Lepisosteus oculatus: one gene and its partners. The protein of the gene in region 1 interacts with the protein of each later gene in a pairwise test. Links are inferred from orthologs where the notes say so. Each region holds a gene or a part of one and is shown in the gene's direction. Other genes may lie near its edges. The genes, in order: ntaq1; psme3; calpain-3; glycogen phosphorylase, muscle form.

The links.
Region 2: the proteins of ntaq1 (region 1) and psme3 interact in binary tests that used the Homo sapiens proteins (3 or more experiments, as listed by UniProt). The two-hybrid records come from large-scale screens. The link is inferred for Lepisosteus oculatus from reciprocal best matches to the Homo sapiens genes NTAQ1 and PSME3.
Region 3: the proteins of ntaq1 (region 1) and calpain-3 interact in binary tests that used the Homo sapiens proteins (3 or more experiments, as listed by UniProt). The two-hybrid records come from large-scale screens. The link is inferred for Lepisosteus oculatus from reciprocal best matches to the Homo sapiens genes NTAQ1 and CAPN3.
Region 4: the proteins of ntaq1 (region 1) and glycogen phosphorylase, muscle form interact in binary tests that used the Homo sapiens proteins (3 or more experiments, as listed by UniProt). The two-hybrid records come from large-scale screens. The link is inferred for Lepisosteus oculatus from reciprocal best matches to the Homo sapiens genes NTAQ1 and PYGM.

What each region holds. Positions count from the first base shown.
Region 1 is NC_090705.1:10,684,816-10,692,515, reverse strand, and holds the start of ntaq1 (protein N-terminal glutamine amidohydrolase), read left to right. Parts: upstream 1-4,686; 5' UTR 4,687-4,785; coding exon 4,786-4,865; intron 4,866-5,314; coding exon 5,315-5,414; intron 5,415-6,846; coding exon 6,847-6,897; intron 6,898-7,562; coding exon 7,563-7,700. Other genes in the region: ATPase family AAA domain-containing protein 2, read right to left, coding at 421-572, 3,081-3,254. UniProt on the Homo sapiens protein: Mediates the side-chain deamidation of N-terminal glutamine residues to glutamate, an important step in N-end rule pathway of protein degradation.
Region 2 is NC_090723.1:3,609,183-3,617,131, forward strand, and holds the start of psme3 (proteasome activator complex subunit 3), read left to right. Parts: upstream 1-4,944; 5' UTR 4,945-4,986; coding exon 4,987-5,028; intron 5,029-5,901; coding exon 5,902-5,934; intron 5,935-6,037; coding exon 6,038-6,100; intron 6,101-7,343; coding exon 7,344-7,448; intron 7,449-7,949. Other genes in the region: nbr1a (NBR1 autophagy cargo receptor a), read right to left, coding at 3,034-3,135. UniProt on the Homo sapiens protein: Subunit of the 11S REG-gamma (also called PA28-gamma) proteasome regulator, a doughnut-shaped homoheptamer which associates with the proteasome. 11S REG-gamma activates the trypsin-like catalytic subunit of the proteasome but inhibits the chymotrypsin-like and postglutamyl-preferring (PGPH) subunits.
Region 3 is NC_090703.1:20,821,836-20,829,826, forward strand, and holds the start of calpain-3, read left to right. Parts: upstream 1-4,989; 5' UTR 4,990-5,381; coding exon 5,382-5,663; intron 5,664-7,991. UniProt on the Homo sapiens protein: Calcium-regulated non-lysosomal thiol-protease. Proteolytically cleaves CTBP1 at 'His-409'. Mediates, with UTP25, the proteasome-independent degradation of p53/TP53.
Region 4 is NC_090713.1:21,553,818-21,561,387, forward strand, and holds the start of glycogen phosphorylase, muscle form, read left to right. Parts: upstream 1-4,559; 5' UTR 4,560-4,726; coding exon 4,727-4,969; intron 4,970-7,570. Other genes in the region: sf1 (splicing factor 1), read left to right, coding at 1-127, 1,027-1,188, 1,563-1,927. UniProt on the Homo sapiens protein: Allosteric enzyme that catalyzes the rate-limiting step in glycogen catabolism, the phosphorolytic cleavage of glycogen to produce glucose-1-phosphate, and plays a central role in maintaining cellular and organismal glucose homeostasis.

The sequences.
Region 1 (7,700 bases):
TCATAACCCATTCTCTACTGGTTGTGTATACGTTAGAAGAAAGAAATCAATGCTACCTTAATGCTGTGTTTGCAAATATAAAATGGGCAACTGAATATTATTAACTGCACTCTCTAATCAATAATGCCAAACAGAGTTTGATGGATGCACTCTAACCTCAAAGCGAAATATCAGATATTGCTAAAAAATTACAGTTCAATCTCGGATAAAAATGTGAAGATCTCACCAGCATTTTTAAAGCTGTGATTTAACAGCAATATCCTCCTGCCCTTTGCTAATTAGAACATAAATTGGGTTCCACACTACACTGAGCTTCACCAGTAGACCTTTTGTAATGGGGCAGTAATTTGTTTCCTCATAATCGGTTCTGAAAGGTCTTTATAAAAGACATTGTGTTCTCCACAGACAAAAAGACTTTACCTTGTAAAATGTTTTCTTTCTTTCCCGTCCTTTTGTGGAGTTTCCTTATCTTTAAAATCAGAGAAAGACACCTCTTGCTTTTCCTTCTGCCCGTTTGTCTTCCTTAGAGATAGTTCAGCTACATTTTCTTCATCCTTTACTGATACATGGCTCTAAATTCAAAGGAAATTTTGTAAAACATGTGTCATTTCTTATTTCTTATTATAAAAAAAATAAGACAAGAAAGCAGAATTGATTTTGGGTGAAAACACATTTTCCTAGATTCTAGATGCGCTTTTCCTCACATTTGTGCATGAAGATTATCACAATGTCATACCAAACAAACGTCTTTCTTGATGAGGCTCCTTCTGTTTCTATTCAGCCCAACCTTACAATCGTTGACTGTAATAAAAATCAGACTCCAGCTGTAAAATGCCTTCATCCTCTCAACAAAGGTACGAAACAGTATACAGTATCTCAGCAAGCTGAATTAAAAGAGGAAATCTTACTGGCTTACCAGTTTAAATGTACCTAAAAGTTACAATAAAATAGCAGATCTAGTTCTTTCCATAGCTTTCACCTGTAAATTAAGTTCCACACTCGAAGGGTAGTTCCCTAAATACGTGCAGCAGGCCTTTCACCCAGAGATCTTATATATTATCCATTCATCCATTTTCTAACCGCTTCTACCACAGTTCAGGGTCACAGGGGAGCCAGAGCCTATCCCAGCAACCAACGGGAGCAAGGCGGGTGGGGTCCATCACAGGGCACACAAGGGCCAAATTTCCCAGAAGTCAATTAACCAACTAATAGATGTTTTGGAGGAAACGAAAGCACCCTGAAGAAACCCGTGAGAATACGGGGAGAACACACAAACCCCATGCAGACAGAACTCCGGGTCCAAGATTCAAACTAAGGCCGCAGTGCTGAGAGGCAGCAATGCTATCTGCTGCAATATCATGCTGTCCAAAATTAAAATCTGATTGACCACATTACAGCACAATAATAATAACTGCTTACACTTATATAGCAATTTTCTGGACACTCAAAGCGCTTTACACCACCAGTGTGCAGCATCCACCTGGATGATGCGACGGCAGCCATAGTGCACCAGAACGCTCCCCACACATCAGCTATCAGTGGGGAGGAGAACCGAGTGATGAAGCCAGTTCATAGATGGGATTAGGAGGCCATGTTTGGAAAAGGCCAATGGGAAATTTAGCCAGGAAGCCAGGATAACACCCCTACACTTTCCGAAAAACACCCTTGGATTTTTAATGACCACAGAAGTGTCAAGACCCTGAATTAAAGTCTCATCCAAAAGACGGTGCCTTTTTACAGTACAGTGTCACCGTCGCTATACTGGGGCATTAGGACCCACACAGACTGCAGAGTGAGCACCCCCTGCTGGCCCCACTAACACCTCTACCAGCAGCAACCTTAGGTTTTCCTAGGAGGTCTCCCATCCAGGTACTGACCAGGCTCACACCTGCTGAGCTTCAGAGGGCTGCCAGTTGTGAGTTGCAGGGTGAAATGGCTGCTGCTGCAATATCCAATTGATTCAGAACATCAGGCTCCAGACATACTGGACACAGGTCAACTAGCAACATAATCACTGACGCTGCCAGGTCGTGTTTTTATTAAGATTTCCATTTAAGGTTTCTTTTTTTCACTTAATAACACTGCCTTCTGTGATCTGCTCCTACAACTTTTGGCCAGCTATTGGACAGCTTTGAGCTGTTACCAACTGATGGGAGCACTTGTGCAAATTTCAGCGACAGATTACTGTTCAACAAATCATAAAAGACAATTTCTTAACTACGACGATGGGGAGTAACTATTTTAAAGACACGCTTTAGATACTGCATTCTGTGCCTGGAGAGATCACGACTTTCTGCTAACGTTTAGCTGGCACTGACGTTACTACTCGCAGTAACTTCAAAATCATCCCCTTTCGTCTCCAGGTGTCCACTACTGTCCACCTCAGGAATTATTCATCCTCGGATCTGCAGTATGACAACCGAGCCAGCAGCAGATTTTGACATGATCTCCTTTATTCAGTCAAGTCGTAAGGTTAGTAACTGGGCTCTGATGACCCGGACACGCTCACCTCTTCGCCTCTAAATTAAAACACATGGACATGGAAACTGAACTTTGATAGGTCGAAAACGAAGCTAATTACCGATAGGCCGGTATGAAAACAAGTCGTATAACGCGTGAAGGAAAACTGTCAGTAACCTTAGTATTTTGCATTTATGTTTCTCTGTTTAAATGCAAAATAAGAATTTTACGGACTGTGCACCGGGTTTCGTCCTCTGTTAATTCACACGTCATCCCAACTCTCACTCTCTTTGCTAGAAGTCAGTGATGCTGTCAGGCAGCCCAGATCATCTGATCTGAGAAAGCTCTGGGCGACCAGAAGAATAAACCGACGCCGTAGTCCAGTTGTTATCAGTTTGTTGCGATTAAGAGCCAACACGCAAGGCTCCCTATATCACGAAGTGTCCGGCTGATCTGGGGGCCAGCTGTCAGCCCCCGACTCAGACAGTTTCTTGGGAAGAAACCGCAGCTCGTCTAGTCCAAAACAGCTGTCATTCCTGACGCACACACCCTCCCATTAACAGCTTTATCATTATTATTATTATTATTTCTGGTAACCCGCGAAAGGACAGGAGGCTCACGTGTCGAGTCGGGGTGTTCTCGGCTCCGCTCGAGCTGTCATCCGCGGCCCTCCTGGAGCGCGCGGAGCGTCTCCGCGCGGACGTCAGGGACAGAAACTCGGCGCTCGAGTCCAGCGCCGGCAGCTTCTTCGGGGACGCGGGGTCCGCGCCCGCACTGCTGCGCAACATCACCATTATAGCCCCCCGTTCTCCTGCTCAGACCGTCAACGGACGTGTTGGAAAAGTGAAGAGGTTTCAGAGTAGGAACAATCCGCTCATGTCCCTTTTCCGGTAGTGGCCGGACAGTTGCCGCTAGCAGACAACCTCTCACTTTTTCTGTTTTTCCAGCCCTTGATTTCTGGCGCCACAAACGTCACAGAAAGTCAGATCACTACCTGTATGTTGCTCCGAAGCAAGAAATAGGCCACGTAGGTACACCCTCTTCACTTTGGAAAGTAACGTCCTGTTTCTGACCACACTATGCTGAAATGGCGGTGACGATAAGGAATTTCTATATGACACCCCTGCGTCCTGTCGTTCTTGTTTTCTAAACACCTTAAGAATTTTATTCCATCCTGCGTAGTGATCTATTTTGAAAGGGTGCCCCGGTAACTTTTTGGCGCGTAGTAAACAACGCCACACGAGGAGCTTTCATTGGCTAATAACAAAGGCCCCGCCCCCAAGCCGAGGTCATAACAAGCACGTGAGGCTCAGGGAAAACGCGGGAGCTGTCAATTCAAAACAGCCTTCTGTTGCAGTGCATTCTGAATATCTGCGTTACACAGTTACAGGCGTCTCTAAGAGGGGCAAATAAGAACAAAAGGAAAGCTGCACTTTATGAAATAAATGTACATTCCTTACATGTCTCAAATACATACAGAAGCGAGGTTCATTCTTTCAGTTTGTGCACATAAATCTTTAGTGTTCGTGGTAAAACCAGCGAATACGTTAATAATGAAAACTTACCAATGAATTTGGGATTAATTCAGTTTATTTATCGTCCTAGAAATAAGGCAGAAGGACCCTGGGAACCTCTGTTTATAGTTTTATAGAGGATTGCATTTCGTATGTATAAAAGCCATCTCTGGCTGATTTTGTACAATTTTTTAAGAAGGAAAACTGCTAGCCTGTTTAAATTTAATGAGTGAGAGGAGAGGGATTTCACAAACTCATTGAACGCCATGCTCAGACAAGCTTATTTTGTATTTGTGGACGTCATGTACTTTTATCAAGTATGAAACAACCAAGCTAGTAGGTTTGCTGGCGCGAACTAGTAACGATGAAACTGTTTTTTTTATTGTAGTCATATATCGAGTCTGTATAAACGACTGTTTCTGATTGCTATGGTTAACGTAAAGTTAAAGTTCGATTAAGTATTTATCTCTATACCGTTGCTTTTGTATTCAAAGGGATGACTGTAAGAAATGTTTAGCTTTGAACCACAGTGTTTGATCTTTCATTTGTGCATAACACTAAATATACTTTTCATAGTCAGGTTATACATAAAGGTTTACCAATAAAAAGCGGGTGAAAACAGTCTGAATTTATATCCACCAAGAGGTTAACATATTACATAAAAGTTGTTTGCCACCCGGAGCAATAAAGGTGTAACATATCCAGTCCCCCTGTTTTTAACGTCCGCATGATGTTACGTTCCTTTTTTAGATGAACAAGTCAAGAAAGTCAGGAATTCACTTTACTGTTCCCTGACATCTTCCCTCGAGTCATGAATAATACAAACGAATCATCTCATTATTGCAGTATTACACCTTCCAGACAAGACTGCATCTATACAAGCTGCTACTGGTGAGGACAATTGAGTTATCCACAGCAGATATTAGGGTATTCACGCTACCCTGTTGATAAGTCTCTTGTATTACTATCAATGAAACTGTGCGGCAGGACTGTGAATACATTTGTGTTTTTATTTACTAAAGTTGATTGTCCTGTTATGCCTTTTCTTAAGAGGAATTCTGCTTCGATGTTTAAAAGGTTTTTCTTTTGCTTTTGAAGGAACCTTTAAATGCTATCCGGATTGTCACGAATAGAATTAAGTTTGTTACTGTGGGGTTTTTTTTTGCGGAATGTTGTACCCTTAACGGTGTGCATAACCCCTTTTTAATCTTTACAGTAGCGCTCTTTTTTCCTGTTTTATATTTTTATTTGAGGGCATGAATGATGAATTTAGTTTACATTACCTCTAGTCGCCTGCCAATCTACCGATGCAGACTATTAAACTCTTTTTTTGTTGTCAGCGAAGAGAATGTCTGGAAGCTCTGCGAACACATTATGACTCGAAAACAATACCCTGAGGATGGAGTTTATGCAGTGTTTATATCCAACGAAAGAAAGATGGTAAGCTGTCACATATACCCCTGTTTTCACCAAGTCTAGGAATATATGCACAATGTATATAATGTATATACAATGTATAGCTCTGTTTTTGCTGATTGGAAAGACGGTATGCAGATTTCTGATTTTGTTTAATTGTTTTTAGCATCATTGTAATCATTTAATACTGACTGAGTGAAACACACGAATGACTTTGTTACATGAAAACTGATTGGTAACAGGCGATGAGCACATTTCCTAGAATAAACAGGACACAAGCTCTCTTCTCCAAAAATGTCTGTTTCACACTTCAATTTCAATTCAATTTATTTTTATATAGCACCTTTCACAACAAGGTTGCCCCCAAGGCACATATCAGTGTGACAGTACATGACGTTACAGTCCAGAAAGAGAAAAAGCCAGAAGACAACGGAGGAGAGGAACCAAAAACTCCTCTGTAAGGAGAAAATAAAACTCTAGGGGTCCAAGGTCAACTGGCTGCCCAACCCCTCTGGGCATGCTAACATTAAACAATTCCAAAAGAGTACTAAATGTGGAGTATTGAGTCTTCCATCATGTCCTTCTGTGTGCCAGTACTCCATGCAGTTATCTGTGGACCAGCAAATTCTCCTGAACTATAGCTACAGTATATTCGTGATCTCCCTCTTGGATCCATGGCAGAGATGCAGCATCCAGCTCAGATGGTGCCCAGCTTGGAACCTCTCAGCACTTCAGCAAAAGTCATTAAAACTGTTGAATGCCAAGGTGGAGGAAAATGAATAGAAAGAAAAAACGCATATGACTGCTACGCTCTGCTTAAATCAAGAGAAAAATAACTCTGTGTCACCAGTATGACACAATACCCAAATTACTGGGACAACAATCTCAAAACTGCTATTTTTGCTTTATTGCCAGTCTGTATTTGTGATCATGAAATTGCTATGATTGGCATGTCCAATCTTATATACTGTAACGCCCCGGGGTTCGCGTGGGTGTGCGCCCTCGCCGCTGCCGCCTCAGGACGGCCCCCCACCGTCAGGGACTCAAACCCGGGCCTCCAGCGTCACTCAACAGGGACCCAGCCACTAAAGGGAAATCTCCCATCAGCCTAGTGGCTACGGTCCCTGCTATTCCCAGGGAAGGGCGGTGACGTCACCGCGCGGATAAGCCGGCTCTCACAACCAATGGTGGCCGTATGCGTTACAATACTTTTTATTTTTAGGAAGCACCATTCATATGTTTGCTAACATTTGATGAAAAAGAAACTTTATTTTCAACCCAGTGATTTCAAGTAATTGGGACACTTGCAGCACAGACAATTTGATCCTCCAAATAAAATCATGAAATTAATTTTCATTTTATATGTTGATTAACTTAAAATGTGTCTGTTTTCTGCCTCTCTTTCAATAAGCTGTAAATGACGTATTAATGGAGTACAGTCTGTCTTGTGTTTCAGGTTCCAATCTGGAAACAGAAGTCAAGCCAAGGAGATAAGCCAGTAATTTGGGTAAATTGCACAGATAAGAACCCTGTTCATCCTGAGCCCCAAGATGAGTGTCGCATTAGAGAGTGCCATTTCAGATGCACCTGGTGGTAACCCAGCAAAATTAAACAGATATGGCATGACTAATAAAACCTTTATCCCTGTGCTAAATTTGCGTGTTCCCCCAAATGAGAAATCAACACAATAAAACAAAAGAGAATTACTGACAGCTGAGGCTGATTAAACCTGGCTGTTGTCACTCCTCCCCAACCTCTGTTATAAACTTCGTATCTGGGCAGTGAGAGAGAAGGCAAACAGCTCTCCCTGTCTGAGATCTTGAATTATTTTGTTAATCTAACTTGGTTCTTAACAGATCTCTAGCTCACTGAATCCTGCTCTCTAGGTGGGTGGGTGTTTCACGTGAAAGGAAGAGCAAAGGATTAATGATGAATAAACAGTTCTCTCCTGATTCAAGTTTCATGACATGTATATTAAAGATATTATACAATCAAGGTCCTAGATGACCAGTGTGTCTGCATTTCTTTAAGGCATGATGAACTATGGGAAGCTATTATGCACTGTCTAATTAAGCCGGTAACTAGCTGATTTATCTATTTAACGTCTGAGTTGCAGTGCAGACCTGCGGACACATCAATCCAAACTGATATACACATTATTCTCTTCCCCAGGACTACCATGTTATCCTGCTCCATGAGAGCCGTGAGGGCCAAACTTATATCTACGATCTGGATACCGTCCTGACCTACCCTTGTCCATTCGCTGTGTACGCAAGGGATGCCCTTCAATCAGATGATTTTATCAAACCA
Region 2 (7,949 bases), on another chromosome or scaffold:
ATTTAAGACGCACCTGGGCAAGATGCTCAATTCAATTCAGCAGCTAACGATCAAATGAGAGAGTCAAACCCAATGGCATCCTCTAGTCTTACTTTTATTGCTGTCAGGTTTCTTTTTTGTTAAGGAGGCATGCATTTGAGTTTACAGGATTGCAAAGCTGCTGCATAAAGCATGTGTGGCACAGACCTTAGTCCAGCTGAGAGAATGAGCACACAAAAAATACAGCCCTTTCTGAACAAATAAGCCTTAATGCCTTAGATGTCTTTAAAAGTTAAAAAAAACATCCCACCATAGTTCCGTTTTAGGCATTCTATTCTTTAAACATGAAAGCCACAACTTAGGGCTTCTCAAACCTGGCTAAGATGAGGAACGTTTTCATGAGAAGGTGGTGATAAGCCAAAGTATCATGTAATTAGGTGGGGCAAAACATGAGCTCTAATCTGCTGTGTTGAAACTATTGGGGTTTTTTCCTCTTCCTCTAGAGAACCACATTGAATTGCATGTCATGGGGCTCAGGAAAGCCGTTTCAATTAATTAAAAAGAACATTTTATGCTTCACTAAGCCTTCCGTTCTAATTTTCAGACCCAAGATAAGAGAGCAACTATACTAATGCCCTTATCATGTGGGGAAGGCATGCACAGAAAGCTGTCACTGGCGTTTTACCCACACCACAAGAGAATTTGGCAAATTTAATTACAGAAAATTCCTCTGCCACTGTTTTACATAAGCACTTGGAAAAGGCTCGTCATGCTTGCTTAACGGGGTAGCTGCTAGGCAAGTTTATTAACAATCGCCCTGCTTCTCTAAAACAAGCTGTTGTTAATATTGTTACTGCTGTATCCCATGCAGTTGATTCTATCAGTCCATTTTTTTTACCACTTCATCCAATTTAGGGTCGCAGGGGAGCTGGAGCCTCTCCCAGCAAGCAACAAGCACGAGGCAGGGTGCACCCTGGGCAGGAGACAACTTTGTCACAGGGCACACACACACACAGACAGACAGACACGCACACTCTCTAACTAAGGACAGTTAATCTACCAGCATGTCTTTGGACTGTGGGCGATAACTGTTGCACCCCGAGGAAACCCACCTGGACGTGGGGAGAACGTGCACTCACTCTAATCAGTAAATTAACATATAGGCCATAGTTATATTTGAATGTCCCTGGCAATGTAATGTTATTTTAAATTCTAGAACGGCGTTTATGTTAAAAATATAGCAGATAAGGGAACGAAACAAACGAGAACAGTAGTTGCGGGTTTCAGTTTGAACTTGTATTATAGCCGCTTTTATTCCCATTGATGAGATAAGATTCCTACGGAGATCCGACAGACTAATAAGCGAACACGTTGCTATTTTAATTTTATGTATTGAGATACATTTATACCATTGCAGACAGAACACATCTGAAATTTACACCCAATTTAAAGATGTATTTACTTTCAGCTATGTCCACTTCCCGGGACATCTGAAAAGTCACAATCGCATACTAAGGGCTCTATACATTTGCTGTAATACAGCATTAAACTTCATTATAAATAAATTACACTTTTATTAATAAACACGTTTACTAATTAACTTCATTATGGATAATTGCGGTGTGTCTGAAAGGCGATTTTAGTTAAATATTAGGATAATATTAAATTAACAAAAAGCCACGGACGCATAAATTCATTACTTAGTGACGATATTTCCACTATATTCGAGAAGGTTCTAATGTGACCCCAAGTTCCGCTTAGTACGCTGTTAATTCGTTTAAAGTTAAGCCATGCGAAGAGGCGATTTCCCTGCTCAGTGAGCTCTAGAGGGCAGCAGCTGTTGCAACTGAGACCAAGTTCAGTACGGAGCTGCGGGCTCATTTCAGCGGCCAGATTCGTTGCCACTGGTCTCAAGGACTAGTTCATGGAGCTGCGTGCCAACACCGGCCTGTACTCCAGCTGTAACGGCGCTTTCAGGTCGCTGCAACTGATCCGCTGTCTTTCTGTAGCTTTAATGGAAAAGAGCTGTTGTTTTTAGTCATCCTATTGTATGTTGACTAACATGCAATATGTACTGTGAACCTATGTAGGGATGTTGTGCTCTGAAAGAGCTGTCCCAAGCCAGATACAGTATTCACAATAAAACGCCAAAGAATGCAAAATGGTTTTCGGGCAGGTGGCCGGACCATCTAAAACAACATTTACACGGGACGAGTCTTCTTTTTTCTCACTTTCTACTCTGATGGGGGCACCGCGGGTGGATATGTGCATTTCCAAACTGTTCCTGATTACTATGGGCTGTTTGTTTGATCTCTCCGTAAGGGCGAGGAGAACAGATGCGAGTGGTTTCCATCTCGACTGTAAGCATTAAGGACATGCTGCGTCACCGCGGATGACTCACTCGCCTGCAGGAAAATAATACAATGTCTCCGTTTTGTTCCGGTATCGAAAGGTCATGCCTTCGTGACCTTTAACACAGTGTTTCTTCAATGCCCCACAAACCTGTCAGAAACATTTCTCCTCTTTATATGACATAAGTATTCTTAAAAAAAAAATTAAAACGGCGCCGATCTGTAGGAGCAAACAAGGCAGCCCTCCTACCCAGCGTTCATAACAGATAAGGTTGTTTTCCAAGTAGATTTGAACTAATTGTAATTTATGATTTCGATTGTTAAGGTAAACATATTTGTGGTATTTTCCCAGTTCACGCACAGAACCTCGGGCAGTCATTCACGACTCTTTTATGACTCCTGTATTGATAGTTTTGCTACCAACACAGTACAGTGTGTGTAAAAGAATGAGCCAGGTCTTTATTAATTGGATATAAGGGCTACTCGTTGCGATTACGATTTATGACGTTTCTAATGTCTGACATCACGCACGGCACGGAAATCCTATTATCGCCCGTACGCATACACAGCGCGTCGGAATTTCAAACTGGCCCTGAAACGGAAGCAAAGCAGGATTTTAAACTGAGGAGAAACTTCGAGAAGGGCCGTGTCTGGGGGGGGGGGAGGCCGACGCCGAGGTCCGACCGCCGCGCCGGAGGCTCACCGCCACTTCCACCGCCTCCCAGCGCGTCCTCTCCGAGTCCGACACCAGCAGGCTCTCCGCCCGTCCCTTAAAATGCGCCTTCAAGCTCACGGGGGAGTCCATGGCCGTCTGTCAGATGTGCAAGTCTGCAAAGGTCATCCAACAAAGAAGCAGCGCGATCTACTCGATGGCACGGTCTTCTTCTTTTACAAGCCAGCTTCTCGCCTGCCTCCGGAGCTCGGCCACGAAGCTCTTCTCCCCACAGTTTCTGTTTACATCTGCGGTAAACACGGGCCCCCACGTGACAGGAAGTCGCCCGACGTCATCAAGAGGGTACATGCGCACTCTCAAACCGGGAGAGACGAGTGGATCGCGCTGGGTTTGACAGGTGTTTCTTTATATCATTTTAGGCTCCCGCTTCTGACCATGATGATGCCAAATTGTGTTTTTCCTATGAATATAAGTTAACGATACCTATTCATTCATCTGCTGTAGCAGATGTTAAGCTACATTGCTTTAAAGGCGTATACTGATTTACAACATATCGCAATACATGTCATATTCTGTAAATCAGTTATATTTGTATTTGCAGATGCTAATTATAGTTTCTTTCAAATGTTTCATGACAATGCAGATTACACAGATACCTGTGATTCTAACCCTGGATGGACATAAGAGAAAGATTAAACGTTTTTCATAATTTGAATTTATTTTGTAATATGTACCCCCTGACGATGTTTTTGTCGTAAAATGTTATATGTACGCTTGTTTGTATTGTATTTGTTGTTATTGTTTATGCATAAATAAATAAAGACAAGAGAATGATAACCAACTGCTGGTAATATGGTGCTCTGCGGATCACGTGATTCTACACAAGGCCCGTACTTTACGGTCTTATAAACCCCAGCAACTTTAGCAAAGACACTTATCTGACAAGACCATGGCGATTTTCTATAAGCTGAGGGTCTGTAGAATAGATATGAGGTATTTTTGAAGAGGCACAAATTTGTGTTTGGTCGGGAGGTGGGTGAGACCGCTCCCTGTCCATCAGTGCACGGTCTCAGTCTGGGGATGGGAGGTGCTCTACAGACCCCAGCAGTTTTGACAGAGACACTTGTCTGACAAAAACAAGGTGATTTTCTATCAGCTGAGGGTCTGTGCAATAGATTGCATCCACCTTTGGAGAGGCACAAATTTTCCCCATCCAATTCTGCACTGCAGTTTTTCTAGAGGTGATCCACCCAGACCAACAATATTAATAAAAACTTAAAACGGAATGAAGAAGGGTGATTTGCTATTGACTGACTGTCTTAACATTGTATGTTTCACCACTTTTGATTGTGCACAAAATGTTTTTGTCCCTGGTTATAGTTTAAAAAAATGATTGAATTTAAATATAATAAAGGATTTTATTTAATTACAAATTTCAGATACAACTCCTTTAAAAGCTTGCATCTTAAAACCTTTTTCATTGAACAGAAACATTTTTATGAAAAAAAAATATAGCAGTATATTACAGTAGTAGAAAGGGGCTGTAAAATTAATACAAACTTCTAATAATCTTAGATTTGTCAAACTTGGAGATAAGTGGAGGCGATTTAAAATTTAAAAAAGGACTCTCTCAAATTAACCATGACGAAATAAAGCAGGTGTTTCAGCTGCTTGTCACTTCGCTTAATGTTGCTTTACTCCTCAAAAGCTGCTGTGGTAGCTGAAAGTCTTTTATTTTGATTGAAATTCGGCTATTGACATACACTTCCGGGTCATTCGTGTCGCTTAGTGTAGCCAGCTTCACGCTACTTCCACGTGGTTGGGTGATTTTCCTCGCCTCTCATTGTCGTCGCGGCTTTTCTACGTCATTTCTCGTTCTCTCCCTTTGATACCTTGTGGCTGTGAATAGGAGCTGAAAGGAGCCACACGGTTATTTCTGTTAATACGATCTCAGATTCCCTTCCCTATTTGTCTGAAAATAGAATGTCTTCTCTCCTCAAAGTGGACAATGAAATCAAAACTAAGGTAAGAGACGGTAATCCGAGAAAGACTGACGCGAGGGGGATGTGGTGTTGAAATTTGAACAGTCGGAAATTTTTCTGTAACACAAGGCCGGGGTATTAAATAAGTGCCTAGCATAATCGCCTGGCTTTCCCGCGCTGTGCTTCACAGATATAGTCATAATTGCTCTGCGTATGTCGATTTATATGGAATTATCTGAAGTTAAAACAGGATATTTCCGTATATTCCGATATTTCCAATAGTATTGCCCCTTCTTTCATTCTGGCCGGAGGTGCGTGTCTGCTGCTGTCGAAATTAAGGCGTTTGTGGTTGAGTCTTTTCCATAATGTGAAATAATAGTATGATCGTAGCGCCTGTAATGCACAATAAATTCAGTGCGATTTGGCCTGCGTTTGGAATTCGTGTTTTTTGACACGTGTCCTGTTTATTGTTTTGAGTGAATGTCCGGGTCCAATCCCAAGAGCTGTGTCAAAGAATAAAAACGATCGTAAACATTTTTGCTGTCCCTTCAACAGCTACTTCCTTGGAGCCGGATATCTTGGGTGTTTATCTTATTCGAAATCTATATCTTCAGAGTCGCACGGCGCATGTGCTCATATATTTATATAAAAACTGAGTGACAAAACAATTCGGTTCAGGAGACAGTCCCGATGAAGCTACAGACAGCGAAAACGAATGAAAAATCTTGCACCCAGTAGATATATTGGCCAGCATCATGTTCACGTGTTATTGCATTTGTGCTGTATTCTGTTTCAAGCGTAATCTTACGTTACTGTATTAAATGCACAGCCTTGGCAATGTTCTACACAGACGGGTAACGTTTCAGTCTTTGACAGTCTAGTTGTGGACCCCGATTTACGTTTACTCTTTCTACAGGTTGATGCTTTCAGAGAACGAATCACCGGTGAAGTAAGTACTTTTGCTTTCAAATTAAAACGATTCTTTTAACGTAAATAAAAAACTAAGTTGTACTGTACTTAGAGCTCGCATTTCCCAATGTTTACTTTTCTAGGCAGAAGACTTAGTCGCAAATTTCTTTCCAAAGAAGTTACTGGAACTCGATCATTTTCTTAAGGTAAGTCTTTCGATTTTTACCGTTATGTTTGCGCGGTTTTCGTTGTGTAAGAGCTCCTATCCACAGCTGAGGAGACCTGGAAGAAGACGAATTGCGTTTAAACTGCACTTTCCTTGTTAGTGGTTCCCAGAGCACTTTATTCACCTTTGAAAAGCAAATCACCAATCAGTTGTGGTGAGAATTACTCCAGACGTTTAGCCATGCTGGATCATGCAAGCCCAGAATGGGATTTAGTCAAGATGCTTGCTTAACATACCAATTCTGGAAAAACTGTTTCAAGGGATCTTTTAACAACCAAATAATCAGGACATTAGTTCAATCTCATCTGAAATCATTGTACAGCACGGTATTCCCTGTCCCCATAGTGGGGCTCTTCAATTAGTAATTCTGTCTTCAACAGAAGATTGCCCCCTGCTGGTTCACCTACACGACTTGCTGTTCATTGTGCTGAAATCAACGCTTACTACACCCTAGCCAGACCTTTGGGTCGGAGAGCTGATGGGATGGCAATAATACCGCAGAGGAGAAAAATAACCACCTTCGTGCAGATCGAAGTTCTGGAGAGGGTGTAAGCCCCCTCCGTGTAGCCAGATATCTACGTCCGAGAGAGGCTTAAAAAGGTCACCGCACTCCCAGAACCATGAATTGTACTGGGTGAAGTTAATTAACATTTCTAAGTTAGCAGCCTTACGTCTTGGGCACCACAGCAGTGCTGGAATCAATGTGTGAATCAAGCTAGAATTGAGTTCAGTAACGTGGAGCCTCACATTTTCTGGAGTTACTGAAGAGATTTAAGGTCTGGTGCTTGGTTTGAACGATCACTGCCGAGTACGTGACCAATGCTGTGTGACTGTCATATGGTGAGCGAATAGAGCTTTACCCCTTGCTCAGCCGAACGGGAGAGAGAAATGTTTCTCTGTTGCCTTGTGGTTATTTCCTCAAGAAGGGAACTAACGAAAAATGTTAAAAAGCAGATATGCTTGGGGGGAAAGGACTTGTGTTTTCTGTTTTGACGAAGGAACAGTTAAAGCCTAATGAGGTCTTAAAACAAGCTGAGGTCTCTGAGCTCAAGGACTAATCATCACTCCTTGGATGTTAAAGGAAAGGATAAAGTTACGTGTCTCCAAGGCTGGTGGTTTGACAGGACTCTTCAGATGAAGGCTGTGGTCCGGTTTCAAGGCAGAACCTTTTGCTGCTGACGTTCACATGTGTTTTCATTGTGCCTTGATCTGCTGTTCTACAGGACCCGATCTTAAACATCATTGAGCTGAAAGACATCCATTCAGAGATCAATTTATCCGTGCCTGACCCCATCATCCTCACAAACAGCCACGATGGGCTGGAGCCTGTGAGTATAATGCTGTTCCTCTTGAGCCTTGTTTTTTAAAAGCTGATAAAACCGATCAGTCCAAACAGTTGGATTGATGGCTGAGCCTGTTTGAGGGCTAATTTACATGGAGGTTTAATATTTTGTTTTCAATGCAGAATTGACAATGGTTCTATTTTTAACATACCCTTCCCACATGGAATTATCAGTTCATCTAAATACTATGGCCTTCGTACAAGCTAGGAGCAAATGAGGTCTTTTCATACTTTCCTCCCCAACATTTTCAGTTATTTTCCTGCAGCCCACCTTTTATTTAGGCTATTATTTCATGTCTGTACCCTTGATTAAGAGAAAATTGTACCACAAAACAATTGGTCTTAGATTTTTTTTTTGTAGAAAAGTGAAAATTTGTCATTGTAACAATTGTTTTAAATTCGTTTGGAATCGCCAACAGCAGGCATGAGGTAAAATCTGAGGTGCCATCGCACGAAATATGCCAAGAGTATTCTATTTTTTATCCTG
Region 3 (7,991 bases), on another chromosome or scaffold:
TCACCTAAGACTGAACAGCCACTTACAGCAGCAGCCGCATTATTAAGTTTGCAGATGGCACCACAAGTATCGGGCTGATCAGGAACAACAATGAGTCCACATCCAGGAGTGAGGTGGAGAATGTTCATGTGAAATCCCCAAGAATGCACAAGAAAAGAAGTTTAGCAGAGCCACATCTGACAGGAGGCCAGAACTCACCTCCTCTGCGATACCTATGACAACCACAGTGTAACTGAAATGTTTGAAGTTAACACTTACTGTAACACCACAAGATGCTGTCTAACAAAGCCTTGTGTGTCAATCACAAGGATGGCCACTGCACAGATTATAATCATATTCATGTCTCCACCTATAACTTAACTGTGATTTTGTAGGTTAAAGGAGCCGATGTTTCCACAGCAAAATATTTTTATTTTGGACTACAGTCCTTTCTTTGGCTCTGCAATGTAAGAATTGAACAATTATCATTACTGCCAAAGACATATTTTGTATGGGACACACCCCACAAGGAAAGATTTTAACTGTTTAAAAGATTTGAGCAAGTTTGTACCACTCAGTGTTTGGGTTTTTCACTATTCCTTGTGTTGTAGCCTCCCCTACAGATCAAGATGAGTTACTGTACTCTTGACAGCAAACAGTACAGACTTAAGTATGGGAGAAGGAGTTTTTGACAAGTTGTGCAGCAGCTCTGCATCACTGTGTTTGCCAGCTGCACAGAAGTATGTGACGCTGTCTCCTGGTTCCAGATTCTTCACTGTGAAAGATCCTTTTTGAGCTTCAGTCTTTTTAACGTCATATTTCTTTGTACTGAGTTCTCCAAAGTCAGGGTCAATACCAACAACAGAATAGACTATGAGCTGAATTCTCTCTCCTGGGAGCTGACGGAACCAGTACATAGCATTGTAGCTAATACCCCCCTGGTGTTCACAGTGCATCGATACTGACTCTCCTGTATTGTTCCAGAGAATGAGTGGGGTCTGGGAGACATGGAGTTCTTGACCACAACCAGCTGAAAGAGAATAAAAGAGCTAATGTGAGAAGAGAAATAAAAACTCCCTGATATTGCTTCCCTTGCAAAAATTTAAAGAACTAGTACTTATATTCTAAGATAGAAAACCATTTAAACAGTCCATTTAAGAACACAGATTTCTTCTCAACAATAACTGTGTTCCAATATTTGTCATTTAAAATAGTTTTTACTATTTTAGGAGATTGCTTGCTTCACAAAAGAATTGTGTTACTTTTTCTTAAAAATTCAGAAACAAATAAAAGTCAGCAAGTTTACTTGTTATAATGTGTAAGAGAAGAAGAGAAGCCAGAGGATATCTCATCTCTCCTATGAAGTCCAGAGGCTTATTCTACTGACACAGACAATGAGCACCTTCAGAGTCAACAGGTGTCTTCTTTCTGATCGGTAGGAGCTCTGTACAGGAAGTGACACAGCTAGTATGTCAAGGAATGAGGAAGTCATTAGGTTAGCAGGATATTTAAGTGATAATACAGTCACTGTATCAGAAACTGCAAAAACCGACAGTAAAAGAAGTTACAAAATAGAGGAAGACCATTCCGCCCAGTAAATCAAATAGTCGGGGAATCAATTACAAATACCCAGAAGACATGTCAAAGACTCCACAAATAAAATTTCTTCAAAAAGTCTTTTGAAGATCTGTTGCAATTGGGGAGGGAAATAACAGCTAGTATCAAAAAATATTCACAAAGTGTTGCTACTGTATATTGAGCTACAGCAACATCACTGATTGGCATCAGTCAGAAACATTAATTTTCAAAACTGCCATGCAGCACCTGGCTTGAGGGAAGGAAATACATCATGATTACAGTTAATTTCTTTTAATGCTGATAACAATAAAATTACATGTGGTTTCCCTCTCATTTGGAGTAAGAAATAACTTTGTAGCTGGTGTTGCAGGTGCAACAAAACAGTGATACTAACATAGATCTGTTTTTGTCTGGTCTTCACGTGCAGCCAGCTCACTGTGCCTCCTGCTTTGCACAGAAGTACACAGCACTGTCAGCAGACTTCAGTTCCCGCACAGTCAGGTACAAAGATGAATCTTTCCGCTCTGAAGAGAACCTTCCTTCAAATTTTTTTTCCATTGATTCCGTGTCATAATAGTAATATACTATGAGCTCCAGATGTTGTCCAGGCAGCTGGCGGTACCAGTACATTCCACTGTAGCTGGTGCCTTTCTGAGAGCAGTACAGAGTCACATTGTGTTCTTCTTCAATCATGACATTGGGAGACTGGTCAACTGCTAGAGCTGAAGGGAGAAACAAGACAGTCAATAAATGTCAGAACCTTGAGAATATCAGAGAATCCCATACTTATTATGCAGTTAGCCCAGTCTAAAAGGTCCTACTGAAAACAGCACTTGTGAAATATGAAATGATTTCTCTTTTCCAGCCATTAAGATGCATTTTCCTATGTCTTGAAAGCCAAACATGCTGCTAAAAGCTTTTTGAAATACACTGTGCATTAGATTCCTCTCAAAAGAAATTACAAGATATGAAAGTTTGCAGCTGTATGTTTTTTGCACCCATTTCAAAGCAACAGAAAAATAAAAAAACAAGACATCATTTTTAAATTAAACATGGACGATCTTCTTGTTGAGTGACGCCCTGATTATAAGGTTTGTACCTAGAGGAATCAGGAGCAGGATGATGGCCAGAGCCATGCTCTTCAGTGGTGTACATGAAGAGAGCATCAACATCTAGAGGGACTGGAGCTGCCCCTGCCTGTTTAGGGCTCTGTTCAGGAAGTGACTCATCCAGCTGATCTCTGACTGAGAGGTGAATGCTGGCTTAATTGCAGACGTCTTAAACTTGTTTAAATAGTCTATCGTAAAAACACAAGTGTGTTTGCCAGCATTCACAGAAAGGGCATTCATATATCCTGCTCCAGTGGGTTTTTCACAACCTCTCTGCTGGCCACAGTATATTGTACTTTTCTCTTTGCAAAAAAAATATACAGCTTACAACTTAAGAAAACAAATGCACTGTTAAACATGTCTTCGGTGTTGTATGGAATCCAGACCCCAAGCATCTTTTATTTATTGAGCTCCCCAGCAGCATTCTATACATCTCCCAAAGAAGGCTCCTCACAGCCGAAAACATTGTGTTTCTTTTCTGCTCTTTTCAGCATGGAATAAACATTTACTTCTTCCTTGTCTCTTTCTCTCCCCCATTTACAGTAAGTGAGGCAGTGCTTTCTTTATCCATCCCAAACCTAGTCACCAACCCGACTGGCACCCTGTTATAGTGTGCCCAGATAGTAAAAAACAGCATGACTAACAGCACACCTGAGACTGAAAAACAGTGAGTCTCAGCAAAACCTCAGCTTTCTGGATGTCTGAATACTTTTGGCACATATATATTCCACATGGCTAATTCCTGTCATGGAAACATTCACACTCTCCTTAAGGGGAATCAGGGTAGTGCCCTGTCTAAAATAAGTCTACACAACAAGTATAGAATATATGAACAACAACGAGAATATATGAACCATTAATATAGATTCAGTTTATTAGTTTATTATTATTAGTTTATTCAGTTTAAAATGTTGTTTTTGGTAAAGGGTTTTTGTGCAAGGTCCTATGTTGGGAATTTACCATTTCTTGTATTCTCTTGCCCCCTGTAGGACAGAGAACAGCAGCACAACAGCTGAGCTGAGAGCTCTGAATACGTTTTTTTTATTAAACATGTTCATCTAATCAGCACAGGAAGATGTAGTTACACACTTTCTTTCTACTTAGCAGGGTGAAATGCAAAAAGGATGCAATGTTGCTTTTCATCATTTTGTATGATTCCTGCAGATAGTGATACTGCACTGTGCTGTGCACTCCTCCCCTTGCTGTTAAACTCCACTATGCCATGCATTCAGAGAGCTGTCACATCTCACAGCTAAAGCATTCAGCAGCTGCTTCATACTGTATGTCTGTGCACTCCATGTCTGGGTGCACCCAGCAATTGAAAGTACTCCCTGCAACTCTGTTGAGAATGTATGGCATGCAGTTCATGCATTGGTGCACCTTGGTGTTGCCTCAGTTGGTGTATTTTCTGTGTTTCTATGAGCTTCATGACCCATGTACGTCTTGCATTGGTCACGCACTCAGTATCCCAGTTCTGGGAAATTCAGTATCCTGGTGTTCTTCTGTCCTACGAACTTTACTCACTTGCGTGCTGCATTATGTTATATTGGGTCAGTGCTTTTCAGTTAAGTGCTGTCTATGCTCTAGATTCTAGAGTCTAGAACTTGTGGTGCCAATCATACATTGCACTCCTTTAACCACGGCATCCTCAATTTCTGCAAAAAATGTGCCAATACAGTCCATTACCACCTAGCACCTAGCAAATTATCCCTAGAGGATGGCTATGGCTTGTCTTAGATCTGTTACCCCTCCAGTACTACAATAAAATAATTTTGCCATGAAGTGGAATATCTGAGAAGTCCTTGAGTGAATTTATGTACAAGCATATCAAAAAGAAAAGGGAGGCCTACTCTATTTCAACAAGCATAAGAATATGCAGCAAGTAGCAAACAAATCATTCACTGGGTACTAGTAAATCTTCATTAAAGTGAGTTGCATTCTTCTTCTAAACAGCACCATATACAGTGCTGTATAGTAAAATTACAGTCTGTATATTGTACCAAGTGTAATACCATATGCTACATCATCTTGCTTCCCCAGTTCAAGGGAGTGCTTGACTTGTCAAAACTGTTAGATTATCAAATTTGATTTAAGCTAGAGATAATGTAAACTTTATCCCCAGCAATCAGTCAAGAAGACTGTTTGCTACATGTTATAACAGCCACAGATGCTCCAGATTCTTTCTGTGCCTCTCTCCAGCCAAGCTGACTGGAGTGGAGAGAGCTCTCCTGGAGATGAGTGTTTGAAAGTAGACACCTCCGTCCTTTTTAAAAGTTTATTTTTAGAGCTCCCAATTGGTAGAGATTGCTAGGGAAGTGGTGAGGGTTTGTGTGTGTGTGCGTTTTTTCGAGAGCCTGCATGGGCGTGTGTGTCTGAAGAAACTGGAAGCCAGCAGAAAGAAGGGGAAGTTAAGGGAAAAGATTGAGAAAAAGTTGTGTCGGTCATGCGTAAAAGAGAGGTCTGCAAGTGCAGAGCTTGGGACTGTCAATTTATAAGGTGGGGGTGGAGGGAACAGACACGAAAGAATAAAATGAAATTTTAATTTTTCAGCCTGGCTTGAGTGGAACTTTCTGACAGACAGATTTCTCCTTAGCAGTTGAAGCCATTATCAGTTTTAAATATATACGGTATACGTACTTGCTCTTTTTTCTTTCACAACTCTGCTGTGGACTTCACACAAGCTGCCAGTTTTGTGGAGTTTGTTAAGAAGGAAAAATGGCGACAAAAACACCTGTTACCGTGGCAACCAGGACGACAGCCTCGCCAATGCCTCAGAAGAGTGCCTGCCCTTCGGGGACACCTGGTGGGATATACTCGGCCATCTTGAACCGAAACCACACTATCATCGATGCCAAGAGGCTCAAGAGCTTCTATGAGCTGCGTGACAAGTACGTGAAAAAGAAGGTGCTCTTTGAGGACCCCACTTTCAAAGCAGATGACTCCTCTTTGTTCTACAGTGGGACATACCCCATTAAATTTGAATGGAAACGTCCACCTGTGAGTATACAGCTCATCCACTCTGCAGAGTCTGAACAGAAAACCATAAATAAGATAACTGTTTAGTTATAACAAAGCATACACAACTTTTGCAACAGAATTTTTAAATAAACATGAGAAGGCTGTATCAGTCATGTCAGGAGTAATCAAACGCCAGCTGCGTTGGAAATCTCCCATTCCACTGCAAGACAATCAGCTGTTCTTGATATTGCTCCTTGCAGACATCAGTAGAATGGATAGGAAGACAGGAAAACATTTGTTGTCACTTTCTACATTTTGGTATAATAATACAAATGCATGTGATACATAATACATTGGAAACACCAAACGTATTTATGTAACGAAAAGATCAAGCTAGAAGTCATCGACTAAATGCTGGGGAAAGGTTAACCTCAATTGGGTCGCAAACAGCCGTTATGAAAATTCTGTGATTCCATCCTTAGCGGCTGATTTCCACAAGGGGGCGCACCTGCTAGCAAGGTTCTGTGTTAGGAACCTGAACATCACAACCTGTCTTTCGTACTTTTAACAGATGTTTTATATTATTCCTCTGAAAAAACGTTATGGTGTCTATTCCTGTTTTTAATCAGTGATATTGTAAGGAGTGATTGTAAAGCTGGCTGGCATCACAAAATGCATTTACTGCTTTAATATATTGAGTTTTTTGCCGACCTTTTGTGAATTCACACAGGTACGAAAATCGGATATGTTCGTAAGAAAGGTTACAAATGAGAGGAGATTGTGTCGGTTTGACTACGATATATTATGTTGCTTTCAGCGGTAGGTGTAGTCTTGCATACACTATCCCTGTTAGGATAGTTGAGTACAGAGTACTGTCATCAGGAATGTGTTTAAAATGCTCAAATTTGAAGTTTAGGCTGCAGAAATGCGTCTTGCATTTTGGCAGCTGCGCACACTAGAATTGCTGTGTTGTGTAAATTAACTTAATTGCATTGTTCTTTACAATAAATATTATTTTTTAGATATTGACAACCAACTTTGGCTCCTGTCAGTAGGATACTGTTTCGGGACTTTCTGGGGTATGCAGATTGTAATTAGGTACTCGGACTCCTAATGTTTCCTACAAAACTTGCCCGGCTACGCGTTTCACTGTCCAGAGCTTCACTGAAACATTTTCATTTTCCGAACACGTTTACCCGCCACTGCTTTAAAGTTTTGTCCGTCCAAATGGAATGCGGTTTTAAGAGTTCATTCAAGAGCTTTTTCGTATCCTTTCGTATTTTCGTACTGTTAGGTCCATTTGAGGAAGGAACAAAGGACGATCGCCATACAGTATAAATCCAGCCGAACCAGACTAACATTGAATGTAAACTAAATGAGGTACTCTGATACTGTATCTATGGAAGCCAGAGAGTAAACAACAAAACGCGCTATGGTATCTCAGAATTCCGACTAAGTATCTCAGAATTGCGACATAAAAAAAAACGTTTTACTAAGTAAAAACTAAGTCGTCATTTAAAAAATTAAATTAAACTTTAATCTACCTATCAAATGCAGACATTCTTATTTAAAAATGCCTTTTAATTGCCTATGCTGGTGTCCTAATTTGCCTCTTCCTGTTTATTATGTAATCAGATGTGCAGTTTCTTTTACAGATGAATCTGTTCGTAGAATATATTTTATTCAAAAGTAGTCACAACTATTAAGATAATTGCAAAACGTTCATGTCAAATAAATTTACTATGAAAAGTAAAAGATAATGGATCCATTTACACTTTAATTTGGTTAGGTTTCAGGGCAAATTTGAAATCCTGTTCAGTCTCAAAGTGTCCAGGAATCATGGGTGTCATTAGCAACCATATTTAGAAATTCAGTTGGGTAGCTGCGTCAGCTTGACACCTGAAGAAGGCTCCACGGCCGAAATGTTGTGTTTTCTTTCTTACTCTTTTCAGCATGGAATAAATCTATTACTTGTTCCATATTTAGAAATGAACTCGGTACAGCTGAGCTAAAGTGAATGTGATGAACTAGCACATTGATGCGTTGTTTCAAACCAGGCAACCCTAATCAGGTTTACTTGCAATGAACCTACTGTAGTATGAATACACTTTCCACCTTCTATGAAACAGCTTCTATTGTTGAGATATACAGTAGTGTGGAGTATCAAGTGAAAACAGAGCATTTGATCATATTAAACTGCCCTCTTGATGCTTATTCACTGCCCACATGTACAGTATGTAAAGATGGAAGGTATGACTACAGCAGAAGCAGTTTTGTCCACAGTGTTTTCCAGACTCCGGTGATCATTTTGGGATATTTTCTTCATTAGTGTTTGTTTATTTTGGTTTGAAACTCTCAATCCTGACT
Region 4 (7,570 bases), on another chromosome or scaffold:
ATGGGCGGCCCACCCATGCCGCCCAACCCCAACGGGCCCCCTCCTCCTTGGATGCAGCCCCCCCCTCCTCCGATGAACCAGGGTCCTGGGCCACACGGACACCCCCATATGGGTGAGACTTCTTGGGGTAATGAAACTGGATTCTGTGAGCGCTATGCGGTGTGGTACCTCAGAAAGAAGCTTTAGGCCTGTCGCCCCCATGTGTGAAAAGTCTGAAAACTAATGTGGTGGTCGGGTTGGCTTTGCACGGTTATTCTCCCAGCAAGGAAGGTCGAGCGAGCTCCTTCGATACCGGTTATTCTTTCCCTGTTTTTGATTACACTGAAAGGAGGTGGGGCTATACCTGCCCCAGGTCAAAGGGGAACTGCAAGGGTATTTTTATGTTTTGGGGTTAAAAGGATTAGCAGTGATGTGCGCGTTTCAAGCCACAAGAACGGTAAAATGTCCACCGTAACGGGTAAAACCTCCCATTTACGTTGCGAAACGCAGGAAGTTTCCAGGTCTGCTCAGCGCCATGTTCTGGGATTCAGGTGTCCGGCCCTGCGACACAGTGAACAAGCAGGCTTGTGAGTCCAGCTCTTCTAATCCAGTAGAAATACTGCTCTCCTCTCCAAGACGGTTTCACTGGCAAATACTGCTCACTGGTTAACTCTGCCTGCGGATCACGCTGGAACATTTCTGCGGTGAAATGTCTGCTGCACAACCTGTACTTATCCACTCGTACATCTCAGTACATTACAGTGAGCAGGAAGGGCTGCTTCACGTCGCAGTTCGTGCGAACTCTCGGGAGCATGGCAACTTGCAGTACTTTCACAGAGCTCAGGGATTTCTGCTGCGTTCCGAGATGGAAGAATTTTAAAATAACTGGCCTGTGAATTTAGGACTACAGCCCCGCCTCTCGCTGTGCAGACGGCCCGGACTTGGCGCATCCCAGTAAGGATTCCGAGGGGATGCAGGAAGGCCCTGCCAGCTCCTCTGAGCCTTCTGAGCTCCTAAAGACGGTTCTCTCTCTCCTCTGCCCTCTAGGCCTGCTGCCGCCTCCAATGGGTCTGATGCCCCCTCCTCCACCTCCCAATAGCCAGCCGCCGCCGCCGCCTTCAGCGCCGCTCCCTCCGTGGCAGCAGCAGGCCCCCCCTCCGCCTCCGACCAGCAGCATGGCCACCAGCGCACCGCTGCCATGGCAACAGAGTAAGTCCCCCACCCCCCCTTTGGTGCAGCCAGCCTGCTTCGTTCGCCCCAGCCAGGCGGTTCTCGGGTGGCAGGGCTCTCGGGGATTGAGTTGGAGAAGCCGGCGTGGTGGCCGTCGGCTTCTGGTTCAAAGAGCTTTCAGCTCCTTATGGTATTTTTTGTCCTCAATTTTTCAAAGTCCGTACTGTGTGCTCCTTATTGGAAGTGACTGTAGCAGTTGACCTTCTAGTACAGTCAAGCAGAACTGGCATATTCATGATCACCGAAGAGACTCGATTATTTAAAGCCTTAAATACATCAGACTTGGTACTAGATTGGCGAGTCTCTCCGTTTTCCTCATGCTTGACCATCGATCCTTGTTTTCCGCTCTGTAGACACCATCACCACCTCTTCTCCGGGCTCTGGAAACCTGCCCCCTTGGCAGCAGCAGCAGCAACAGCAACAACAACAGCAACAGCAGCAGCAGCAGTCCTCGGGGTCCTCCGCCCAGCCCCCGCCTCCCATGGGGAACCCCTCCCTGGTGCCCCCGCCGCCGGGAGTCCAGCCTCCTCTGCCCCCCGGCGCCCCTCCCCCTCCCCCACCTCCTCCTCCGGGCTCTGCGGGCATGATGTACGCCCCCCCTCCTCCCCCGCCCCCCATGGATCCCTCCAACTTCGTCACGATGATGGGGATGGGGGTCCCCGGGATGCCGCCCTTTGGGATGCCCCCTGCGCCCCCTCCTCCGCCCCCCCAGAACTAAGCTGCCCCCCCTCCTTCCACCCTCCCACCCCCGGGTGGAGCAGATGTGCGGACTCTGACCTTAACGCAACTGTTTTTAGAAAAAAACAACACGATGTAAATACTGGATTTCCACACAGGGCATTTTTAAAAGGGGAAACTTTTAACGTTGACATCACCACGCTGTTCTCTAAAGGTTTGGAGTGTGGTGGTGAAACCAGTATACTGGTCCCATACCCTCGAGGCCCTCTTGCAGAGTCTTTCACGAGGGAGGAGAGTCCTCCTGTGTGGAACAGTCTTAGACCTGATGAACGTGGCGCTCTTTCGAGTTGGTTTTAGACTTGAAACACCGGAAGACCCCTGTGTGTGTGTGTGTAATTATTCTGCTGTGGAGGTCTGAGCATGACGGGGGTGCTGTACTGAGGAACAGTGTCGGCATTCCCAGCCCAGTCCCAGGTAAACTGATCAATCCCGTGTTTCTTCCCTGTAAATCTCACCCTGGCATCGACCTCTTTTGTCTTCTAGCTTGCAAATTGCAACTTGAGTTTGCTGTCCTAGCTTAGGACTCCTGGTTGTTTTTTTGGGGGGGGGGGGTCAGTTATGTGTATATTGTTTCCTAGTGAGATGTTTGGTTTTTCATTGTTGTAAAAACACAGCTTCCTTGGTAATTTTGTGATCCAAAGAGGCGATCCTCCCCAGTCCTGGTTTGCAATGAAAAATGAACCCCCTGGGATCTTTCTAAAATTACTCATTAGGGCCTAATGGGGCATAGGTCATTTAATTTCAAGCTGTGGATGGAAACCCGATTTGTAAATCTTTTTATTTTCCCCTGTAATGGGTAGTTTGGGCTTCCGAGATCCTCTGAATCGCGGGAAGATCTTCTAAGCCACAGAACGGTTTTATTTGCGAAGTCAAATTCAGAAGCTGTGGGAAAATGTGATTGAAAGGTCGGTGTTGCTAATGGGTGGTGCCTGTTGCTTTTGAAACGGCAGAAGCCTTTTCTCTCCTCAACAGATGAGAACCGTTTCCCCGAGTAGACAGATCTAAGCTGTTCTTCACCAGCTGCCGCCCCCTCTCCCTCAGGGTTTTTTCTGTCATTCAAAACCGCGTCCTGAAACTGACCATCTAAAAGGCCCCTGGCAAGACCTGCAGTTTGTCTGCCTTAAAATGTGCAAGTCGTCAGATGTGAAGAGTATTACGAATGTTCCTGAACTGGCATCGAAAATGTGTCATCTGTTAAACGTGTAAAAAGACTTTTTGTAGTTTTTTTTTTTAAGCTTGTTCTCCCCAAGTTGGACATCTGGGCCCCACGCCCCCTGTGACCTTGCCAGCAACACTACGTATTGGTCAGTGTGCTTTGTGGTCTTGCTACCAGGAGTTCTGCTGTGCCCCCTTCCCAGCCCCCTGAGCGGCTTTTTGATATATCGGTTCTATTGACTTTCTATTATTGATGTTTATTTTCTGTATCTTTTCAGTGAAAATAAAGGGGAGTTATAAATTTACAGAACCCATTGTCCTGTTCCTGGGGGAGGGAGGGGGGGGCTCTTGGTTTGTGCTGTTTCTGTTGAAGGTACAAGGTGGAAATGTTTAAAAAGGGTTGAACTCTTAATGGTGCTGATACTCCCGAGTTCAGCTGTGTGGGCCGCCGCTGTCCAAGTCTCTTTCTTCCCAAACGTGCACGGTTCAGCTGGGCTGATTAAACGGAACGAGTTTAAGGGGCTTGACTGGAAAGAAAAGGGCAGCCTTCTGTCCTTCCAGGATAGCAGTCTTACCCGCCCTGCTTTAAACCTTGCAAGATTCTCTGCAGGATGGCGGTTGCGATGCTTTTCAGGAACAGAAGAGTGTTCTCTCCCAGCACCCTATTTTAACAGCTCCACCCTGTGCCCTCCTGCCTGTCTTTTGTGTGCGCTGGTGACCGCTGGGGGTTTTGGCTGCCAGATTCAGCCCCCTGCTCCCATCATTCATCCTGGCGTCTTTTTTTAACCCTGGCCTTTGAGGAGGGGGTCAGCGCTTTAAATAGACGCCTCGGAGCCAGAGACATGCTTGGCTGCGGACGCCCTCTCCAGCTGCCCCAGTGCAGCAGGGCACGATGGGACTTGTGGTCCAGTGCAATGCTCGGTCTCGAGAGATTTGTGGCCATATAAGTCTACTCATTGATAGCGGTGCGGATGTGGAGTTTATTTACATCTTGGGGAAGCCTCTTGATTAAGATGAAGACAATTGATTAAGCGTAGCGGTTGCTGGGAAAAAATTCAGATATTCCCTCCCTTACTCCTTGTAGGGTAAAAAAATTGTTGCAACACTGATGTAGTTTGTGCTTCCCAGCTATGAGAGGAATTTAAGTCCTACAGTGAATCGGCGAGTATCATCGGTGGGAGCAGCGCTTTTCAACCTGACGACGTTCAGCAACGCCCGTCTCTGCTACCCCCCCCTCATCTGTACCACCAAGGGGGGGCGGGCAACGTGTTTATTTCCAGCCGTGTCCTTTCATCTCGCTTTCTGCGGGGAGACAATCGCGGCGCCTAATAGGGCGCGTTATGAATATTAACTGAGCGACCGTTAGCGTGGCAGCCGATTGGACGCGGCCGGCGCTGGGGGACCCGCCCCCTCCTTGCATATTAATGAGGGCCGGTTTATAAGGCGGCCAGGGGGCGGGGAGTGGTGACAGTCTGCGGGTCTCCGCTGCAGTAGGACAGAGCTGAGGGGCTTCTGAGGACTAAGGGGAGGGGGGTGTCGCCTGACTGCATGTTCCAGTTTCCTTCAGCCGCATTCACACCGTAAGAGCGAAGCTACCCGAGCCCGAAACAGCCAGCCAGCCAAGATGTCGCGACCTCTGACAGACCAGGACCGTAGGAAGCAGATCTCCGTCCGGGGGCTCGCCGGCGTGGAGAACGTGACGGACCTGAAGAAGAACTTCAACCGCCACCTCCACTTCACGCTGGTGAAGGACCGCAACGTGTCGTCGACGCGCGACTACTACTTCGCCCTGGCGAACACCGTGCGCGACCACCTGGTGGGCCGGTGGATCCGCACCCAGCAGCACTACTACGAGAAAGACCCCAAAGTAAGCACCCCGGCGCTGGAGGAGGAGGAGGAGGGAGGGGGGGTGTTTGCCGCATGCAGGCTGGGCCAGCTGGGGGGCGGGGCCGGCGTGGAGGTGATGACGGACGGGGGGCCGGAGCCGCTGGGCTTTGCCGGGGGTTACGGGGGGGGTCTTTTACAGTCTCCCTAAGGATCATCCCTGCGTCTCTCCGTTGGCCTTTGGAGAGCGTGGGGCGACGTGCCACAAAGCATCCCTCCCCCCCCCCATCACCGGCGCGATGACGTGCGAGACCGTACGCCCCCCCGTAAAAAAAACACCGAAGAGTTGCAGCGGGGTACCTGTACCCCCCCCGTCTGTCTTTCTGTGAACCCCGCGGTCTGTAAGGGCTCCGAGGGCGCCGCCTGTTCATCCCGCTGCCAGCTGTCCTTTTGATAGGCGCGTACTGTTAGAATATCATATTGTTTATTCGTCTAATGGGTCATATATAGTCATGTGTATATACACAGTCCTTTAATCTTATTCGAAACAGAAACGGAATGGGTTATATCTCCCCCCCCTCGACTTTATTTCACATATTCGCGTATCGCAGGGGAGAAGGAGAATCGTGACACGCGGCGTGTCTTTTGCGTTCTCTCTCTCGGGTGTGTAATGGAGTTGAAGGTTGCGTGTCTCGCAAGCACCGGAGCGACAGTAGACCATTTTGTTTTGCGACTCCGTCCACCCGGGATTCCTCACGGGAGATTTATTCCCGGTTCACCTGTTTTGTTTTGGGGTTCTCCCGCCCCCCGGATGATCGCCTCTGGCAAAGTAGAACAGCGTAGCGTGTATTACAGTAGCCAAACAAGAACTCCTCTGGTCTGAGGTTGACGTTTAAAACAAATGAAACCGACCTGGAGGCGTTTTTTTTTCCCGGCGACAGCGGAGAGACCGGTGCGGGGCAGCCGGTTCAGACTCCCGTGGGTTTAGCACGGCCGGGCGGTACAACGACATTTCCTGTCACCCCAGCCTGCCATGCCAGCCCGGGGGAGACCGGAGCTCCGTGTTTGTTCAGAAGGAGATTTCAATTTGAAATCATACCCCAGCGCCCCACGGAGGAGGTGCTGGAGCAGGAATCGCCAGACGGGGAACAGTGCCTTTCGTGGTTCATTACACGAGCGATTTCTCAGTGAGCCTGTGCGCCTCAGGTCCTCTTCAGCCCTCAACGGGTGATTAAAAAAAGATGACTTTGCTTGGCCCATCGTTACAGCTGACAGGTGCTGCCAGTCTGTAAAAAGAGGCGACCTATAAGACTGACTGGCCTGGGGCTCCCCAAGATCAGGGCTAGAGACCCCCTGATTCAGGGGGACCTGTAAGACTGACTAGACTGTGGCTTCTCAAGATCAGGGCTAGAGACCCCCTGATTCAGGGGTTTCCAGGTCATGGATCCCCATCACGCCCAGCAGTTCAGAGAGGCCATGAGGGGTACAGGCCAGGGGGGGAATTTGGGTGCAGTGATGGACATTGCTGTCTCGCAGCGCTGGGGCCCCGGGTTCATTTCCTGGGGTGCTGTCTGGGTGGAGTCTGCATGTTCTCCCCGCGTTCGTGTGGGTGTCCTCTAGGTGCTCCGGTTTCCTCCCACAGTCCAGAGACATGCCGGGAAGTTAACTGGCTTCTGGGAAAACTGGCCCTGGTGTGAGTGTGTGTGTCCTGTGATGGACTGTCCCTGGTGTGAGTGTGTGTGTCCTGTGATGGACTGTCCCTGGTGTGTGTGTGTGTGTCCTGTGATGGACTGGGGTCCCGTCCAGGGTGTACCCTGCCTTGTGCCTGGTGCTTGCTGGGATAGACTCCCGCTCCCCCATGACCTGGAATTCACCTTGGAAGGAGCAGCTGGACACTGGGTGGATGGAAATCCTCTTGGTGGCAAATGTCCATCCTGCAGGAATCCTGTTCCTGGATATTTTAGTGTGATCTTGCTGTATTTATTGATCAGTATTATAACGAGTAGTGAAGGCACCGTTCTGTTATTAATCCTGCGTTTTTGATATATAAAAGAACTCCTCTTTGTGGAAAACATCTATCTCCTTGGAAATACACAGGGTCAGGTCATGAAACTCCCAGTCTCCTCCTGGGGAAGACTAAGGCAGTAGCTGAGCGTTTCAGGTTCCGATGTACCAGTGGCCCAGAGTTTGTGAGACCCTGCTCCTTTTTCGTGTTTTCTGTTTGATCTTGTAACACACGACGCAGCGCCACAAAAACCAAAAAAAACGAGTCACACAAGTAGATGTCCATACCCACTGTCAGAGGGAGTGGGCGCCCTGTGTTATTCGGGGTGTTTTAAATCATACTGCTTCGCTGTGAAGTAAATTCTGGACTTGTTTAGGTTACAGTGCGCTGAGCCAGACCCGTGAGAGACGGTTGTCCAGAAGTGTCCCCTTCCACCCGAATTCAGTCTCGCAAAAGGGAGGGGCATCCTACCGAGAAGCAATTAAAATCCAGCAAACCCATCCCGTTTCTAACCTCTTCTTCCGGGACAGGGTCGCGGGGGGAAGCCGGAGTCTATCCCAGGGAGCAACAGGCGCAAGGCAGGGTACGCCCTGGACAGGACGCCAGTCTGTCACAGGGCACACACACTAAACACCAGGG